Linked DNA regions of Daphnia pulex. The protein of the gene in region 1 purifies or fractionates together with the protein of each later gene. This does not show direct contact. Links are inferred from orthologs where the notes say so. Each region holds a gene or a part of one and is shown in the gene's direction. Other genes may lie near its edges.

Region 1 (4,251 bases):
AGCATGTTCCCGTAATTTTTTGTAAATAATGTTTTTTCCATACATGGGGACAAATTTGTAGAAAGACCCGTTTTCACTATAGTATACTATACTACCCTACACTATATCAGGAGTCAGAAAATAAAAATTAAAAACGGTTTCCCTACACTACACCACACTATACTACGCCATACACTACACTACATGGTGGCTGGTGTAGGAGCATCCCCAGACCGGTAGTTGCAGATACGCTCACTAGGTGGCGCCACGGTATTTCAAAGTCAGCCAGGGGTAGTGAGCCAAACGGCACGTCATAAACGACATTCCTTGGGGGATATTTAACATGAAGATTGGAAAACATCTCTCCACATGGACTACTCTAATTAAGGACGGGAATCTTCGCTATCCTGCCTTGTTATAGCTAGTCGGGTGGGGTATTTTCATGAAAACATTAATAAAAAATATCATTAAATTCAGTTTTTTTCGCTGATTCCAACTATGGATATAAATCTTAGCGAAATAAACTAATCCTTAAGATATTAGAAATTTATTTTCAGGAGTAGGGATAAAAGGACAAAACACCGGTGCCATCTAGCAACCAAACATCCTAAGCTCTTAAGAATATACGCTACAAGGTAAAAGATAGTTAGGCAGCTATGTAGGACTAGAGATAATAGAGTGGTCTCTCTTTCTCTCGTTATGCATGCATGGGCATCTGCTTGCAAACTAACAAGAGCTTAGGAGGTTTGGTTCCTAGATGGCACCGGTGTTTTGCCCTATTTCAAATTTTCCGTTAAGGAATTGGAAATATCTCTATAAAAATAAATGTTAGGTATAGGAACATATGGTAATTATATGGTAATTTTTTAATTCTGATTCTACTTCTCCCACAAAAAAATGTACATTGCCGACATAGGAAACGCCGAAGAGTCCCGTCCTTAATTAGAGTAGTCCATGCTCTCCATAACCTATTAACCTGCCATAACCATCCAAAGCAGAGCTATAGAATAGCCTACTGGTACCGCCACTTATATGGCGAGCCCTTCCATTGCTTTTTTTCTCTGGAAGTGAAGCCTGCTTATTGCCTGCCCTGTCCCGTAGCTATAAGCGCCACGGCGGGTGTGTGGGGAAATAGGGTATAGGAATGGTATAGGAATAGAGGGAAAATTGGAGGAGTGGTAAGGGTCGAGATCGATATCTTAGCTCCGATTTTCACTATCGATTGCTAAAGTTGGCTTCAATCTAGAGAAAATTTCCGAGAGGAGTTAACATGGCAGTGGCGGTACCACAGTCCGCAGTATTCTATAGCTCTGATCCAAAGAGTAAAAAAATATTTAAAAAATAAAAACATTTAAATAACGTGTAAATCATACTTAATTGCTATTTTTCTAATATTATTACTTTTGCCATTTTTGTATCATTGTATGAAGTATGATTGATTTTCGTAAATTTTGTTTGCCTTTGTTGAAATTTGGCTTTGTTGCCTCAGCTCAAAGTGAATGTCAATGTCTGTCTGATTCTTGTTGACGAAGCTGACGTGACGAGTAACGACATATACACCTGATATTTTTGATATCTCAAAACTTTCCACGACACTTCCTCCTTCAGGCTTCAACCATTTAGTATTAGTACACCCTATTTAAAATGTGGAACTCAGGTGGTAAAGGTTCCTCAAGTGATATCGTCAATAGGCAAAAACAGTGCCATATAAAAGCATTCGAATTAATCTCGCGAGCCCTGGAACTTGACGAACGAAATTTTAATGGTAACCCAGCGAATCTATATGTATATATATTTTTCTGAAATCAAATCACATGATTCATCATTCTCATTTATAAATGTATTTATAATATTAACTTGCTTTGTGGGCCCTTCTGTTATGCACATAAAGAAGATAAGGCTGTAGCAATCGAATTATATTCTGAAGGTATAAAAGAATTGGAATCTGGAATCAGCATTGAAATAAAAGGAATAGGAGAAGCATATGAAAGTGCCAAGAGGTAAGCCAAGTTGTTGTACCCATAAATAAAGAAATCAAGGTTGTATGATTGCACATGTATTGTCCCAAAGCTATGCCTATAAAATTTTTATTCAAATATTCAAGGAACTTGTAGCTATTACCTTTAGTAGTTCAGTTTATTTTTATTTATTTTTTTGTGTAACATTTTACACCAAGATTCATGAATGTCTAAGTTTAAGCAGCCTCAATTTACATGGGCTTATTTTTATAACTTCGTGTTTGTTTGAATTCTTACTCATGTTCTTTTTTGTTATTTAAATTTTACCAACACTAGATTACAAATGAAGATGAGAACCAATTTGGAAATGGCGAGAGATCGCCTACATTTTTTAAGTAAGCAATTTTTTAATTACTCTGGCAAAGTAATTTATTCATTTTCTTGATTATTTTCACTACAAATGATTTAAACTTGAAAATTACATTTTCTTAACTTTTTCTATTTTTTTTTGTTTAGGTGGCATGAGTGACTTACAGCACTTACCTTTGTGTGATCCGGAGGACGAAGTTTTACCTTTTGAATTTGTACCTGCTCGCGGAAATACTGAAGAAAGCAATCGCAAAGTTTCTGACCAATCAAGAGCCTTGCCGACCTCACGTCCTTCCGGTATTGCCGTAGCACGATCTGGTATTTATTTGATACTTGTATTGTTTAAAATAATCAATTTACTCTATATCGATTAATTGATTGCTACTATCCTTTTCATCATTTTTCTGCGATTATTAAAGCGACTACGACCCGAAAGAATGTCGTAACTCCAATTCGTAGAACTGGTACTTTAAAATCCAATATCACTCCTGTTGCTCAAGTAACCAACAATAAGGGCAGTCCGAATGCAAAAGGAACAGGTAAAACCAGGCAAAATTAATAATTTCTTTCTATTATTTTCTCAGTATAATGATTTTTTTTTGTTTTTTTTTTTTTCAGTCACCAGATCGAATGCCACCACTTCCGTTACCGCCAAAACAACTCCTGTTAGGTTGCCGGTTGCCGCAGCTAACCGTCGCCCCACACCTATTTCTGTAATTACCTAGTGGTACTTACTTACAACCATAGTTTGTTTACACAATTCTGGGATTCCTGAATAGAGTACTACACCGAATAAAGCCCCGTCCTCATCCGTAGGCAAGCCGACCTTAAAAGCATCTGGTATCAAAGGTGTTGAATCAAAGTTAGCATCTTTAATTCTGGATGAAATTGTCGACGGTGGTGCTGGAGTTTCTTTTGATGACATTGCAGGTTTGGAGGTAGAAACATATCGTTTAGCATTAAGTGAACTTACAGTAGATATTTTATTCTTTTCTGTTTTTTGTTTTTTTTTTTTTTTTTTTTATTTATCAATTCTGTAGCAAGCCAAGCAAGCTCTACAAGAGATTGTGATTCTTCCTTCCCTAAGACCTGAACTCTTTACAGGACTTCGCTCACCTGCTCGAGGACTTCTCCTTTTTGGTCCCCCTGGTACATACAATTAATTTATTCACCAGCCTTCCCCCCCCCCTTTTTTTTAACGGTTTACTGGTATTTTTAAATAGGTAATGGTAAAACGCTGCTGGCTCGCGCTGTCGCTAGTGAATCATCTGCCAAATTTTTTAATATATCCGCTTCGTCTTTGACATCTAAATATGTCGGAGAAGGCGAAAAACTTGTGCGGGCTCTATTTGGTGTTGCTCGAGAATTACAGGTATTGTGACATGTTCTAGGAGAAATAACTCACAAAAATTCTTTATTGTTTTTGCCGAGATTATTTATCTTGGTAATCTAAAAAAAAATCACAAAGAAAAAAGTGCCTTCGAGAAATATATAAATGAAATTTTCTTCAACTTTTTTTACAGCCGTCTATCATTTTTGTCGATGAAATCGATTCACTGCTTTGTGAACGTAGGGAAGGAGAACATGAAGCGAGCCGAAGACTTAAAACAGAATTCCTTTGTCAATTTGATGGACTTCATGCCTCGCACGAAGAAAAAATCTTGGTTATGGGAGCAACTAATCGACCACAGGAGTTAGACGAAGCTGTCCTTAGGTATTAAATATTAAAGCCAATTTCGCTTAAAAATTTGTATTGCAAGCAATCACGAAATCCTATGAACGTTCGTTTGTTTCACTCAAGACGTTTCCCCAAAAGACTCTATGTCCGTTTACCGGATGCCTCTGCAAGAGTTCTGCTGTTAACGCAACTTCTTTCAAAGCATAACAGTCCACTAGGTGAAAAACAACTCATTAAACTCGCCGAGCTGACTCAAAGCTACTCTAG
Region 2 (3,971 bases), on another chromosome or scaffold:
TTAAAATGAAGTGTGTAAAGTCAAAAGGCTTTCCAGATTTTTTTGCTTCATCAATCTCCTTACTATTAACAAAATTTTACATTTAAACTTGGGATATAATTCAAATTAAGTCTTGTATACCATAGATTTTCCAGTAGGGGAACAGAAACTTGAGGTGGTATGTTTATGAACCTTTCATTGAATATAAGTCCTATCTGGTTAGATGGATCATCAAACAATCCACTCAGTTTCTTCTGTGTTTTTTCCAACAGGTACTTTTTTACTTCTTTAATACATTCCACATCCTAGGAAAAGTAAATAACAAAAAAAATTGGGTTAATTGTAATTTGTGTAACACAAATTCAAAATTTTATCTCACCTTGTGATGTGTCAAGTTAATTACAGAAGTAATTCCAAAAACTTCATCAAGAGAATTTCCTTCATCATCACTATCAGGTTCATCATTATCCACACATTGCTGAAGAAGTAGATATCTTTAGTAAAGTACACAAATTACATCTTCACAAGATTTTATTACCTGTAATATACTTCCAATGTAGTTTTGCTGAATGATGAGTTCCGTCAGACCACTTAAATTAATATGAGCCTTTAGGAAAAGCTGATGCATTAGACTCTTGATACCGTGAAAATCTTCAGCGATTGGTGATTGACCTTCAAAGTCGACTTGAATCTCTCGGTCGTTCTCTCCAAGTTGCTCATCTTCACCCATTTCTTCATCTTGAGAATCATTTTCTTCTTCTTCTTCCTCTGAAGAATCGCTGCTATCTTCTTCCATAGGCCGTTTAGTATTGAAATTCGCCATGATTTTTAAAGACAATTTTTCACACGTGTCAAAAAGTCAAAAACAAACTTAAGTTTGTCTGCTAGGAAGGGGTAGGAAGGAAGTGAAGTGAACATTCAAATTGTTTGAAATAAAATCTTAAAAATTGAGTTAAAAAATAGAATAAAATTGTATTAAATATTATAACAATTATAAAAATCAAATCATTACTATTTCAATTTCAATTAATTATAATTATTTTAATGAATAAAACTTTGAACGTGAATTGCAACGCCCTTTTACTTAGTCTGCTACGTTACAATAAAACGAAAAACGGAAAACTTCAAACCTTCAAACTTCTTCTTTATAAGACAGTGAATTTTATTGTATCTTTTTAAAATAAGCACAATGGAGTTTCAATCTCCAATTATTGCCGGTTCTAACTCAACTGTTACTGGCAAACTAAATCTTCCTGGTCGAAGAATAAAGCACTCACTCGAAAAGACATCAGACATGTTGGGGGCCAGTTGCCTCCCTTCTCCTAACCGACATAATACAATGTCTTTTATGTCTGATGATCTTAGCCACACTATTTTCGAAAGTGATCCTACATTTACGAGAATTGGTGCTGGTTTACAAAGGAAAAATCTGGATTCGACAAGAGCAGACTTAACAGTGAGCAATGTATCACGAAAGAAACGAAATGAAGAACTCATGAGCATCCTTCTAGAAGAAGAAGTTCCAGGAGTAGAAAATGTCTTAGAACTATTTGAGAGATTCCTCAAAACATTTCAGTCATATGGGGCAGAACATCAAGTGTTTAATCAGTGTGCAGAATATGAGTCAGAATGTGGAGAACAAGTATCTGCTTTGCGAAAATTGATTCAAATGGCCCCTCGTGGACACAACAAACTATCACAAGCACAAGAATTGGAGCAAGAACTGAGACTTGAGCGTGACACATGGAGATTGGTTGCATCTCTCTACCAAGATCGTTTAAACTCTGAATTTCATGACAGTGAAATGGAGTCTGATGAAATCTGGAGTGGATTGGATGATGTTACAAGTGAAGATGACTTGGTAAAACAACTCTATGACAAAAATGCCATAATCAGACAGGCTCAGCTCGTAGTCGATTGGCTGGAACAACGAGCGGCTGATGTCTATCACGATTCCCATTACAGCCAGGTATTTTTTAATGTAATTAAAATTTTCTTTTATTAAATAATATATTATACTCTAATTAGGTGGAGTTTTACGGAGATGCGGTTGCCGGCTGGGAAAATACTCTTCATTCTTTGGTCAGTAAAAAACGAGGGCTTAGTACAGATAACGTCGAGCAAAATATGGTTACTCAAATGGATCCCGATGCTCCTAACCGAGAACAAAACAGACGTCTTCACCCACTTGACAAAGAAGATGAAATGCGTTTGCTTCGTTCTGTATTTGCTCGACTCCGTTGTGGACAGCTGGATGAAGCCCAGCAGCTCTGTTTCCGAGCAGGTCAACCATTTCGGGCTGCAATTTTGGAAGGATGGAAACTGTTTCATGATCCCAACATGAAATCTCGCACGGATGTAGCCAACACGAAAGGTAATTTCCAGATTTGTAGAAACCAATGGATTCGATAAAAATATTTATCTCAACTGTAGAGTCGCCATCTGGAAATCCTTATCGTGACATATGGAAGACGATGACTTGGAAAGAGTGCGAAAATGTGCAGTTGTCGGAGGAAGAGCGCGCAATCTTTGCTCTTCTTTGTGGACATTTGAAAGCCCTTTTACCTGCCTGTCGTTCCTGGGAAGATCAACTGTGGGCTCATCTGCGTGCCATGATCGACCACTGTGTCGAGAAGGAACTTCGTCGCTGTGTCAATTATAAACGGCAACTTCAAATTCTACCAGACGAATATTGGAATCAACAGTTGACCGTCGAGTCCATTTTCTCAACTTTAGCTGCCTCCAGAGATAAGACTTTGATCGCCCAAGGCCGTGACCAATATAGGTGACTAATTCTTTAATTTGTCTAATGCGAAATTTACCAAAGCAAATTTTGAAATGCAGGATCATACAGCGCTACCTTATTATGGATGATGTTGACGGATTACTTGAAGAAATGTCGTCTTGGCTGAAACAAGGTGACAGCTGGAGCGTTCACCTACGCCCTCACATGATCCGGCTAATGTCCCATCTTGCTCTGTTCTTCCGGCGCATCGGTCGTGGCTCATGTGACGATTCCATCGGATCCATCCTGGAAGCTTACGTTCTACAACTTGTCAATCTTGGACGAACTGATTTGGCGGCTGTCTATGTTGGACAATTGCCTTTGCCAGAAGATCAAATTCGCCTGTATGCTCAATGCCTCGTTATGGTAGAGGAACAGGAAGAATCCTGTGACGACGAGGAGCGAAGGCGCCTCCTATCTTTGGCCCAGGATGTCGGACTTGATGTCAACGCTATCGCCAAACAAGTTGTAATCAAACTTTGCGACCAGGGCGGAATGGTCCAACACGTCACTGATGCTTCTCTACAGGTGATTAATATAGATTTCGATCTGCATTCGTGCATAGCGTACTCATAATTGTTTAATACTTTTAGGTAGCGACCACGGCAGAAGATGAACGCCGGATACGTTCACTGAGCTGGTTGTTAATGGATCCGTCAATGCGAAGTCAATTGCTTATCCAAGCCAACACTCTCATGCGGGGATACCTTCTCCGTCGTCAGATTGAAGCTGTGAAGCTGACGTTCCAGTTGACTCCACCCGACACAGTCGCCATATTGACCGAACTATGGGAATCACGAACTGGATTGACGGATTTGCCCACTGAAGTCGAGGCTGCTGTCCGTGAATACCTTTGCATCCAGACTTACATTGATGCACTAGACGCCTTTCAAGAATGGTTCACACGTTTCCATCACTCCAAGCCCAAGAAAACAGAAGCTACCGTTCAACAACAGCGAGGAGGAGCCAGTTCTCAACTATCATTCACTGAAAACTTACTCAAAGAACAGCATCTTAAGCAACATCAAGTTGAAATTCAACGCTGGCAGGCAGCCGTCGATTCCCTCACGCAATCAGCTATTGACAAACTGTATAACGTCCTACTTTTTCCTGACGGAGGCTGGATGGTTGATAGCATGTCCTTCGAGGAGGAAAATTCTCCCCGACAACAGCAACAACAGTTGTTGCGACAAACTTGCATCCCACA
Region 3 (4,024 bases), on another chromosome or scaffold:
TCGATTTGATGAATATTTTTTCTTCCCTCCTTCTACTTTTGGAAATAACTCCTCCCTGATTTCCCCCCCCCCCTCTCCAGTCTATTTCGATAAACATCACCCTCTAAAAAAGAGAAAAAAAACGTTCGTGTCGTGAGTGGAGGAATGCAGCTGTGCGGTAATCATAGTGAGCACGTCCATTTTAAAAGGGAAAAAAAAAGCTTTTAAAAAACAAGAAAATTTTTAGTTGTTTTTGTTTCTTCAATTTGAAAGGAAAATAAGCACTTGGAGGGGAAACTAATATTATCACCTCTTTCACTTCTTATTCTTGTGTGCTAGAGAATAACACATGTACACACACACTCGCAGGTACCGGAAGGAAAATCTATCTGAAACTTCCGGGGAGGGATATCAAAAAAGTTTTGTTTCATTTCCCCCCAGCACGTTGTTTGAGCTACATCCCGTTTTAATATACATACACAACGATCGAGAAATATTTTAATTATTCGTCACGTTGTAGCCTATATAATCCGGAATTCGTCAATATATCTAAAAGGAAAGGCGGATAAATCTAGAACTGTACACATCACACACACGCACGTATACAGCCCAACAACACTGGTTTCGTGATGTTTGTGCTATCGTCCCGTTTGGGAATATATAGCATGCCCTAGCTCCTGGCTCGACCGCAATTGTATCCAACTCTTAATAAGTTAGTCCTATCTCACTAATCTTTTCATTTCAAATGGGTGGGGAAAAAACGTGGAAGAAGATGGAGATAAAATATAATCGTTCACTCACCGATGACGTTGATTGTATCTAGACGGTTGTAGATGATTTAAAAACTCACTCACAACACACTAAAAACCACGAGGTAATAGAAAAAAAGGTAATCCTCTTCAAGTTTTCCAACAAGGCCCGTTGTGAAAAGATGGTTGTTGCATCGAGCGTGGCGAGATTTGCGTTCAACTTTTTGGGAATTTGAGAAACCAAAAGATAAAAATGGCTTGAAAGTAATTTCCAAGACTTGGTTTGCCCCCACCACCACTTTCGTTCTCGTTCTTTCCTGTTGTTTTTGTCCCGCACCGGTTCACGTTGGCCGGGGTAGGTGGGACGGTCGTGACTCGACTCTCGACTGCAACTGACTCGGATCGGACGATTCGGCTCGTGCTCGACCATTCTGCTCACCAGAGGCGCCACTAGTAATCGACTTCCTTGATGTATCCATCCGCCCGTTAAATAGATCCTCGTTTACTTTATCAGATCAATTACGCAATTCAATCAAGTAACACATGAATCAATTAAAGTAGGTTTAACTTTAATGTTCAATTTACATGCATCGCTGTGTCAAATGAAAAACATTTTCACCAATTTCACCAATCAGTTTTCTTGAATTATTGTGCTAAATTTAATCTGAAATGATACTTTAGTATTTAATATGATTTTAAAATCCAAATTCATGTATGCAAAACACATCATTAAAAAAATAAGAGAAGAAAAGTAAAAGAAATTGAGTTGTATGAGGCACGGCAACATTGCGCCGCCATTAGCACCGTCAGATTTTATTTTTAAACGTGCCAGACGACAATTTTTTCAAAATATCTCAAGTCTCTAAAAAGTGAAGGAACTGAATAAATACCGAACAAATGGATAGAAAAAATTTGCTGAAAGCCGGGCGGAGAAAGTATGTGTTAAACAAGTTGTGTTAAGTTGATCAAACATGCTAAGATCCCATTTTCTTTCTTTCAGTTCATTGAATGTCAGTTCACGTTCGTTGAATGCATCATCTCGTAATTTGGCTGAATCGTCAAATTATGCCTTAGAAAATTATGGGACAGCTTTACCCGTAGCTGTAATTGAACTCATTTCCTCGGCAGAAAGTAAGTTGATAAATATGTGACCCTACTCGACCAAATTAAATTTCATGTTCGCTTTCAGGGAAAGCGGAATGCAGTGTTACACTGTCTAAAGATGGCTGGGCCTGGTTTGTGTGTGGACGGCAACTTGTCATATGGAAGTACTCCAAGGCGGCTGGTGCCAACACAGTATCAACACCTTCAAGGAAATCAATTGCTGTTTCTTCCCCAAAGTCTCATGAGTTGACCTTACCTCCAAGTGATCTAGCACACAAATCAGATCTTGTGGCGGTTTTCTGCTCAGAAGCTGACAGTGTCCCATCGTGCATTGCTGTGTCACCAGAAGGAACTGTCCGTTACTGGGATTCCATTGCTCACGAAAACTTTTTTGTTGAAATCAATGCTGATCTTCAGGTAAAATTTCAGATTAAAATTCTTATCGAACAACAAGTAATTGCAGTATTGAAATTAACAGGGTCAAGAATGTGATACTCTGAGTGAAGCTATGCCTCTGGGCTGTTTGGTAGCCACAACAACTGCCAGTGTCCTGCTGTTGACACCTCGCCTGACTGATGGCAGTCCCAACATACAGTGCCGGAATTTCAAGACACCGCAGGGACTATTAGGTTCCATTAGCCGTAGAATGTCGTCGTTGATATTTGGACCCATTTCAACACATCAGTCGATGGAGACACGGCTAGTCAAACTATTGAGCCAGAAAAAAGATAGTCACACTTTGGAAGTTCAAATCCTTTGCAGTCAAACTTTGCAGTATTGGCAGGTAAATCTACATAAAAATCTGCAAGATAACCCACTAAACTTGTTTTGTGTCTAGGTTGGTGAAACAGAGCGGCTATTATATCAGTGTGATATTGACAAATGGGCTAGGGAGTCTCTTATTGCGCACGTCTGGAGCCGAAGTGACCGCAACAGCATCCACAAATTGAGAGTCTGGATTCTTGATGCCCAAGTTTACAAAAACGACTTAATCTTGCTGATCGCCGCCTCCAATCCCAACCTGAGTTCCCAAATCCAATACGCCTTGGCCGCTCTGCCAATGCAAAGTAGCTCGCCACCTACTGGTTTTTCCTCCTTTTGTGTCCTCAAGTATGCCACAGCCATGGCTGAGCGATCAGATTCATCTTTACAGGAATCGTCCCCTCCCCAGTGTCGCTTTGTTCTCGTGGGATCGACGGCCTACTTGTACTCTGATAAATGGATCCTGTGTGTACCGTCCAACGAGCCACTAGAAGAACCCGACAAGCTTGAAGTCAAGGCTGCCAATGAACGTTTCCTAGGTGCAGGAGTCTTTAATCAGCGACCCGTTTTCTTCTCTACCCGTCACGGTGTTTTGATTTTACAACCTTCAATCGGTGGACCGAATGACAGCCAATCTTTTATTGATGAATCCATTATGGAACATTCCCAGATTATGGCCGAAAACCTTGATCCCGCCCAGGTATGTTGAAAAGTTTATCAGTGTTTTTCAAGGTGAATTACAGCATTTCATTTTACTTGCAGAATGAATCTACCTCATCAAAATTGAGATTGGCTTTCATCAATTTCTGTCGCAAAAATATTTATGAAACACAGTCGCTTCTAGAAGAATTATTTGCCTCTCCAACCAGTAAAGGCCAAATAGATTCGCTCATGGATAGAATGGTGGTTGATTTCAGTCAACAAATCATCGACGACTATCCAGCCACAGATCCTCGTTGGACAGATTCAGTTCCAGCTGGCCACGAGTCAACGTTCACCACCGTCTCCTTATTAGTCCTGCATCAGTTGGAAGATAAAGTCAAGGCTCACGACCTGTTCCTTACTTTCCTTCGGTACGTCACACTATATACTAGTCTTTATTCATTAACATTCTGTTCACGTTTTCAAAAATTATTCAGGAACATGTCAATTTGGGGCGACTTGACAGCCATTGGTGACCGTCGCGGTGCTAAATCTAGTGCATTTGTTTTGATGGAACATGCCGAGAAATTGCGTGCATCCTTGGCCCTACGAGCCCTTCATACGCCTGGTTCAACACTTATTGATGCTTCCATCCGACGGGTCCTTCAAGAAAGAGCAGTCGAACTGACAAATGACAAATTGACGCAGCAGGATCTCTTCTACCGACACATTACTGCGCTAGGAGATTTTTTTCCTTGCTTTGTGGATGTCGTCTGCGAAACTGTGGC

Evidence for each region. The genes of interacting proteins can lie anywhere in the genome.
Region 2: the proteins of spastin-like (region 1) and nuclear pore complex protein Nup107-like purify together in Homo sapiens (affinity purification with mass spectrometry; 3 studies listed by BioGRID and IntAct, counting the BioPlex papers as one, with this or other methods). This does not show direct contact. The link is inferred for Daphnia pulex from reciprocal best matches to the Homo sapiens genes SPAST and NUP107.
Region 3: the proteins of spastin-like (region 1) and nuclear pore complex protein Nup133-like purify together in Homo sapiens (affinity purification with mass spectrometry; 3 studies listed by BioGRID and IntAct, counting the BioPlex papers as one, with this or other methods). This does not show direct contact. The link is inferred for Daphnia pulex from reciprocal best matches to the Homo sapiens genes SPAST and NUP133.

The regions. Positions count from the first base shown.
Region 1 is NC_060020.1:8,501,075-8,505,325, reverse strand, and holds the start of spastin-like, read left to right. Parts: upstream 1-1,450; 5' UTR 1,451-1,623; coding exon 1,624-1,744; intron 1,745-1,870; coding exon 1,871-1,979; intron 1,980-2,273; coding exon 2,274-2,332; intron 2,333-2,453; coding exon 2,454-2,624; intron 2,625-2,725; coding exon 2,726-2,845; intron 2,846-2,924; coding exon 2,925-3,019; intron 3,020-3,085; coding exon 3,086-3,244; intron 3,245-3,346; coding exon 3,347-3,455; intron 3,456-3,529; coding exon 3,530-3,678; intron 3,679-3,829; coding exon 3,830-4,020; intron 4,021-4,107; coding exon 4,108-4,251. UniProt on the Homo sapiens protein: ATP-dependent microtubule severing protein that specifically recognizes and cuts microtubules that are polyglutamylated.
Region 2 is NC_060019.1:10,133,853-10,137,823, reverse strand, and holds the start of nuclear pore complex protein Nup107-like, read left to right. Parts: upstream 1-1,168; coding exon 1,169-1,948; intron 1,949-2,007; coding exon 2,008-2,353; intron 2,354-2,412; coding exon 2,413-2,764; intron 2,765-2,823; coding exon 2,824-3,292; intron 3,293-3,357; coding exon 3,358-3,971. Other genes in the region: protein BCCIP homolog, read right to left, coding at 1-62, 121-284, 359-457, 518-802. UniProt on the Homo sapiens protein: Plays a role in the nuclear pore complex (NPC) assembly and/or maintenance. Required for the assembly of peripheral proteins into the NPC. May anchor NUP62 to the NPC. Involved in nephrogenesis.
Region 3 is NC_060023.1:10,064,516-10,068,539, forward strand, and holds the start of nuclear pore complex protein Nup133-like, read left to right. Parts: upstream 1-1,221; 5' UTR 1,222-1,625; coding exon 1,626-1,663; intron 1,664-1,728; coding exon 1,729-1,859; intron 1,860-1,917; coding exon 1,918-2,249; intron 2,250-2,310; coding exon 2,311-2,616; intron 2,617-2,670; coding exon 2,671-3,294; intron 3,295-3,356; coding exon 3,357-3,667; intron 3,668-3,733; coding exon 3,734-4,024. UniProt on the Homo sapiens protein: Involved in poly(A)+ RNA transport. Involved in nephrogenesis.